Linked DNA regions of Oryzias latipes. The protein of the gene in region 2 interacts with the protein of the main gene of each other region in a pairwise test. Links are inferred from orthologs where the notes say so. Each region holds a gene or a part of one and is shown on either strand. Other genes may lie near its edges.

What was found. The genes of interacting proteins can lie anywhere in the genome.
Region 1: the proteins of psmd9 (region 2) and psmc3 interact in binary tests that used the Homo sapiens proteins (3 or more experiments, as listed by UniProt). The link is inferred for Oryzias latipes from reciprocal best matches to the Homo sapiens genes PSMD9 and PSMC3.

Annotation. Positions count from the first base shown.
Region 1 is NC_019861.2:24,483,547-24,486,743, forward strand, and holds psmc3 (26S protease regulatory subunit 6A), read left to right. Parts: upstream 1-1,211; 5' UTR 1,212-1,231; coding exon 1,232-2,176; intron 2,177-2,348; coding exon 2,349-2,687; 3' UTR 2,688-2,697; downstream 2,698-3,197. Other genes in the region: tbp (TATA-box-binding protein), read right to left, coding at 1-37, 462-512.
Region 2 is NC_019867.2:12,049,031-12,052,892, forward strand, and holds psmd9 (26S proteasome non-ATPase regulatory subunit 9), read right to left. Parts: upstream 2,403-3,862; 5' UTR 2,356-2,402; coding exon 2,230-2,355; intron 2,153-2,229; coding exon 2,053-2,152; intron 1,799-2,052; coding exon 1,605-1,798; intron 1,526-1,604; coding exon 1,424-1,525; intron 1,236-1,423; coding exon 1,147-1,235; intron 926-1,146; coding exon 898-925; 3' UTR 638-897; downstream 1-637. Other genes in the region: gtf2h3 (general transcription factor IIH subunit 3), read left to right, coding at 58-127. UniProt on the Homo sapiens protein: Acts as a chaperone during the assembly of the 26S proteasome, specifically of the base subcomplex of the PA700/19S regulatory complex (RC).

The sequences.
Region 1 (3,197 bases), on a different chromosome or scaffold from region 2:
TGGGACTGAACACTGGCATGGTTGGGGTCATCACACCCTGCATAATACAATACCACCACGTTGTTAAATTAGAAGAAAGTTTTTTTTTTTTTTAAAAGCTCAGTATTTACAGTAATGCAAAATATGACCTGCAGTATGACTTTCTGAAGCAACCGGAAATCATGCTCTGATTAAATGTAATCGTAGATACAATACAGAAATACAAAATAAAAGAATCATGATTTCCTTAATGAAATTTATATTTCAGTCATAAATATCTTGAAAATAAATATATCAAATTTAAATAAAAGTAACTCATATTCAAAACTAACCAAAACATATGTAATAAGTTGAAATTGAGAACTTATCAATATTTTTCTCAATATTTTGTGATGACCCGATCATGTAATTAGAAATATTATATTTGTGAAATGTTTGTTTTATGAAAACCATTTTGAAGAAACCAAAGCGGAGATTAATACCGGAGGTGAAGCCAGGCCTTGAAAGGCTTGGATGCTGTTGTTTTGGTCCATGTTTTGTGCTTCTCCCGTTCCAACACTGCCAACCACTATTAGGCAGTTGTCCAATCCACTTTCGCAGCAGGTGCCTTGAATTGAGAGGGCTCTATGTACGTAGAAAAAGACCACTAGAATAAAAATAGACTTCACAATCTCCCCTGTTTTTTTCCACAATGCTGAGTCCAGAACGCTGAAAAACAGAAGATGTGTGTGTGTGTACACAGAAGAGAAGTTAGCAAAACTAGAACAGAAATAAGAGCGCGAACATAAAAGAAACATAATATTCTGAGTCACGAGGTCTGCAGTTACCGTGAACCTCATTGTGTGGCCTTTCAAATGCTTTTTTTTAAATCATTAATTCTTGTCTATAGACGATCAGTTCTCTCGTAGCACATCTGACAGCCTTCAAATTAAACACACCGGCTAGCTGAAGTTAGCTGCATAGCTAAAGTAAGCTAGCATACACATAGGGATACAAACCCTTTTCTGTGGCGTAAAGCGTTTGCCGCGTTAAAAAAAGTTGAAAACTAAACTATATGTGTTGAAAGAAAAGCCTGTTAATGAAAGGCAACTTACTGGTATCGTTTTGGAGCTGAAGTGACCACAAAAACAAGATAATGCGAGCTTAGCTTGTTTTATCTAACGCTCAGTCTGGGAAGAAAATGCTTGGCTCCTTCCGGAAGAAGAAGCTTTAACTTCCGGCGTGTCACAGCGCGCAGTCAGACAGAGCAAAGATGGCGTCGCTGAGTGACAAATCAGTTTGGGACGAGGTGGAAGATGGAATCGGAGAAGAAGTGTTAAAAATGTCCACAGAGGAGATAGTCCAGCGCACTCGTCTCCTCGACAGCGAGATAAAGATCATGAAGAGCGAAGTGCTTCGGGTGACTCATGAGCTCCAGGCCATGAAGGATAAAATCAAAGAAAACACGGAGAAGATAAAGGTGAACAAAACTCTGCCGTACTTGGTTTCGAACGTGATTGAGCTGCTGGATGTGGATCCCAACGACCAAGAGGAAGATGGGGCAAATGTGGATTTGGATTCCCAGAGAAAAGGAAAGTGCGCTGTCATTAAAACCTCCACCCGGCAGACATACTTCCTGCCGGTGATCGGGCTGGTGGACGCCGAGAAGCTGAAACCTGGAGATCTTGTTGGGGTCAACAAAGACTCCTACCTGATCCTGGAGACCCTGCCCACAGAGTACGACTCCAGAGTTAAAGCCATGGAGGTGGATGAGCGTCCCACTGAGCAGTACAGCGACATAGGCGGCCTTGATAAGCAGATCCAGGAGCTGGTGGAGGCTATAGTCTTGCCTATGAACCACAAGGAGAAGTTTGAGAACCTGGGCATCCAGCCACCCAAAGGGGTTCTCATGTACGGCCCACCTGGTACAGGAAAAACCCTCCTGGCCAGGGCCTGTGCTGCTCAGACCAAAGCTACCTTCCTAAAGCTGGCAGGTCCGCAGTTGGTACAGATGTTCATTGGAGATGGCGCCAAGCTGGTCAGAGATGCCTTCGCTTTGGCTAAAGAGAAAGCTCCGTCCATCATCTTCATCGATGAACTGGATGCTATTGGAACGAAGAGGTTCGACAGCGAGAAGGCTGGAGATCGAGAGGTGCAGAGGACCATGCTGGAGCTGCTCAACCAGCTGGACGGTTTTCAGCCCAACATGCAGGTCAAGGTAAAGATGCTTTCCATGTAAACATTTGTGTAAAACTAATTGTAATTAGTTACAGCATTATATTCTTTAATCTTTTAAAATGGTTGCTAAATTTTACATTTAAACTTTAGCATGCACTCTAATAATGTTGTGCTCCAGGTCTGACCACAGTGCTCTTGTAAATCCTTCATAGGTGATTGCTGCCACCAACAGAGTGGACATCCTGGACCCTGCTCTGCTTCGTTCAGGTCGGCTCGACAGAAAGATCGAGTTCCCCATGCCGAACGAAGAGGCCAGAGCTCGCATCATGCAGATTCACTCCCGCAAGATGAATGTCAGTCCTGATGTCAATTATGAGGAGCTGGCTCGCTGCACGGATGACTTCAACGGAGCCCAGTGCAAGGCTGTGTGTGTGGAGGCTGGTATGATCGCACTGCGCCGTGGCGCCACAGAGCTCAACCATGAAGATTACATGGAGGGAATCCTGGAAGTCCAAGCCAAGAAGAAGACCAACCTTCAGTACTATGCTTAAGGCCACTGCCGGTGTCTGGGTTTTGTGTGAGCATGTATTGTGATTAAAAAAAATCCTGAGCAAACACTTGTTACTAAAACTATCTTGATTTAATAAAAAGAGAGAAAATCAATGTAGTCTTTTGTCCTACTGATTACAGTGAAAGAGGACTATGAGGTGCTTTCAAACAAATACATAAAAAAATCTTATAATATGGAGGGAAGTTTCTCAGACTTTGTCATGTTTTGGGTGAATCATTCACTTGAGCAAAAATAATCCTATTTTGGACAACAACTTTATTTAGGGCCCTGCATACAACCATATTAAAGGATTTTTTTTCCAACAATTCTTTTAGCTTTATGGATTTGAGAGATCGGTTGGGCTGTATCAATATTAATGTGTTATCAGGAAGCAACCTTTATTACATTTTTAACATTGACGTAAATAAAAACTTCAAATTATCTTTTACTCTATCCATAAATATGGTTTTGTTTGGTTTTCAAAATAGAGGTATGCTTTTATCACGTTTTC
Region 2 (3,862 bases):
AGCACCAATTGAACTTTGTGCATTTAGACTGTTCAGTCTCGTTTTGTGTTGTTTCAGGACTGCCTTTAAAATCCAACTGCCACAGATGGTCAAACCTAAAAAGAAGAAACTCAAGATGCCTGCATGATTGCCCCTCCAATGTTATTCAGACCACTTCTTTGTCGTCACTTAAAAAAACTTTTGTAGTTTTAGATTTGTTGAAATTTTAAACGGGCTGGAAAATGCAAACATGTCAAGACAGACTTTTCACCTGTCATTCATACCAATGTCACAGACGACTTAGGAACATGCTAAGTTAAATATTTTTCAGCCCATATCTTAGTTGTTACTTGTAAATTGAAAAAACTGTACTTTTTGATTCAATAAATAAAATCTATAATTTTATTTGAATTAAAATTTCGTTTTTCTTGATTGTCTCAAAAGCATTATTGTGTGGAATCTATAGAACACAGGTTGCAATTTTGTCTTTTTTTATTATTTTAGATGACATTTTTAACACTGCAAACACAAAAAAGTTCTTCCCATTACATGAAAAGGGGTGAAAAATCTAATGAAAAAAACAAGCCAAATTCAATCAAACAATTTCAGATTATTGCAAAGCATTTGCATTTTGTTTTAGATATTTTTCCTTATTTTATTTTTTCTTTAATCACTGTATCCTAAAGTCAGTCACTAATTTCAACCAAGATGAAGAATATAGAAAAATCTAAATCTATTTTTGTTATGCAGAAGGGAAAACTAACAGTCCCAACTTTTGCAAATGCAGAAAACTGTCTGCCAAATATTTAATCTCAAGTGTTCTTTATTGTCCCATATTCTGCTCTTGTATACAAAGTCATTGGGAAATCACTCAAAAAGGAAAGTGGGGGAAAAGTTCCAGAATGTAAGTTGTGTAGTTTATCTCTGGACAGGAACAATGTTGCATCTAAAAAATGAAAAGAGAAACATGAACAGGTTTTGACTTTAGGTGTAGCTATTCAAAAAAAATCAAAAACAGCAATAAGAAAGTATGGTAAAGGATTGGTTTACCAGTATTTCATTTCATAAAATGGCTGTTTTTTAGCCCCTTTTAAATTTAGATCAAGCTGGTTCTACAAGAACTGATCCAAACAAGGGCTTGTAACAGTGAAGATGCTTTTTACTTACCCCAGCAGACCTCTGCCGGACCATCGCTGTGGGGTGAGATTCACCTGAACCTTTTGGCCAGCCCTTACAACCGTGACACGCAGAGCTTTCTGCAACAGAAACGCGATGAAGAGATTCCCATTTTAGTTAAATTCTTATGGAATTAACAGAAATTTGTTAAGAAAAATGTTTTAATTTGAAAGCAAAATACATTGTGGCAACAAAACAGACTTATTAGAAGAAAAATAGAAATGTTAATATATTCAATATAAACCTGCAGGACAACATCTAAACTTACCCCTTCACTGTGTTGCACGACAGATGCAATATTCTGGAGGTTCTGAAAGTTCTTGGTGTTTACAGAGCCAAACTCAATGACTTCATCTCCAACTTTGAGGCCCTTTTAAGGGAAAAAAAAGATATCTAAAGTAGTATAAATAGTTTCTTTGAGAATACAAAATAAGCTAAAATTCACTAACCGCTGCAGAGGCAGGTGAACCTTCAGTCACGGTGTCCACTTGTGCAAAAGGAGGAGGCAGGGTGACCTGCTGCTCCATGGGCTCCTCTGTGGCTTCTGCTTGGTCCTGTTCTCGCTTGGCCTTCTCTCGAGCGTGCAGCTTGTGCAGGGCTTCCTCTATCTCTGCCATGATGGCCTTATGGTCGTTTTGCAGACCTGAAAACAAAGAAATAACGTCTGTTGCCATAAAAGTTTAACAAAAAAGGGGGGAAATGAAGAAAAAAAAATACAGCAAAAATAAATAGTTAAACTAAAGAGTCTTTGCTGTTTAAAATTCTTATTGACTATAAGTTTTGAACTTTTGGTTCAAGCTATACAGGATCATGATCTTCGTCGGATTGTTGAATGTTATATTTATTTTCTATACACAACAAGCTCAATAAAATGTGTTTCAAAAATCTTATGCTTACATGATATGTTGTGTCTCGCCGTCCTGATTTGGTATAAATTCACATCCGCTCGTGGGTAACCCTCAGCGTCAACCAGTGGACCCTCAACTCCAACCCCCTGCTATAAAAAACCGATAGAATGATTGATTTTGGAAACTCGAAACCCAAAGAGTTTATGTAACTTTGTGTCCAACTTACGTCCTCTAAGACATCATAGTACGCCTTTATCTGCTCCTCAATTTCTTCTTTTTTTTTAATCATAGCGTTCACATCATCCATCGTTACATTTAACCTTTCAAGAGAGTTTTCTTCTGTCATCTTCATTTCTGCTGATGGCTATTAGCTCTGGACTTCCGGTTTGTGACGCACGTCTTTGTTATTGAACGCTGTTGACAGATTGATGCATTACCGCCACCTTTTGGTTGGGAGGGTAAACATTTTATTTTTTTTATTTCTTTTCGACATGAGAAAATTGGGAATTTAAAAAAATGTAACTACCTGATTCTGACATGACATCTGCGATGTGGCTTTTAAGTGCTGGTATCCTGTTTTTTAATATAAATTATGATTAATGCCGGCTAATGGGATGGACTGAGGGTGTAAGAAGAGCGTTGAATGCAAGAGGGATGACTGTGGTGCAAGGGAGAGAGGCTGCTCAGGACAGGGATGGGTGGAGAGAGCTTGTGTATGGATGAATGGATGGGTGTGGTAGAGGTCTGGTCTTGGGATGAAGCGGCAAGGGGAAACCAGCCTTGGCTGAGGCCCTGCTGTGGAGGTGCCCACACTGGAGTGTGCAGCTGACCCTGGTGCAGTGTGGTGTGGCTTAGACCAGGCCTCAGACCAGTCACACGCACATACACACACACACACTGAAGGAGGAGGGTTTGGGGAAGAGACAGAGGGAGCTAAAATTGTGTGCCTTGTCTAGGCTACCCCACCTTGGTGGGACACAGCCTTGGTAAATAAAAAAATAAAAAAAACAAAGCAGTAATTCATGTTTATAGATGTGTTGTTCCTCACTGTCTACTCAGTATCTCTTTAATATTAAACATCAAAAGTGACCGTAAGATTTCAATGTTGTTTCTTTCTACCGCTTCCAGATTTTGTGGGTTTCTAGGATTAAGAGGATGGCTGTGAAAACTGTGCATTCAAATGATGTTGGCAGAACGGACACATCTTTAAAAATATCATAAAAGGGACAAATGTGTGTGTTTGTGTGTGCGTGGAGGGGGGGTGGTTTTGTTTTTGCACAGTGACTACAATTCCATTAAATCCCCAAAAGATAAATTCCACTGTTTTTTTTTTTTAAATATCTGCAAGTCAATGCCCTGAACTTTCATTCTAATGCCCATTAGTAGGGTAAATTAATTATAATAAAAGGTTTTCATTGATTAAATTAAATGTAATTGCATCATGTAAGAATGATATTCTTAATCAATGTTAAAGCTACCATGGAGGAGACTTTTATTTTATTTGCTGATAAGAAAAATCTGTAAGGGAATTATCTTGTGCATATTTTGACATTGACAACTTTACCAAAACTGCTCCAGCACAAAATCAGCCTCAAAACCAGCCTCCATTAGTTTCCTTTAGTGAATCTGATGCTGCTCTACAACAGATAAATACATTAAAAGTCTGAAGTTCCTCATTACAGCATTTCTAGATATCCACAACTTTCATCCACTCTTCCAGAATAGAAATACTATTAAATTCATACAAAAATGTCTGATTATCTTTTGACTTTCTGGCATTAAAGATAACTGATTTCATACTATGTGACAAAGCATCTCTTCACTTCAGATCTTTGTTTAAAAAAAACATACATAGTTTC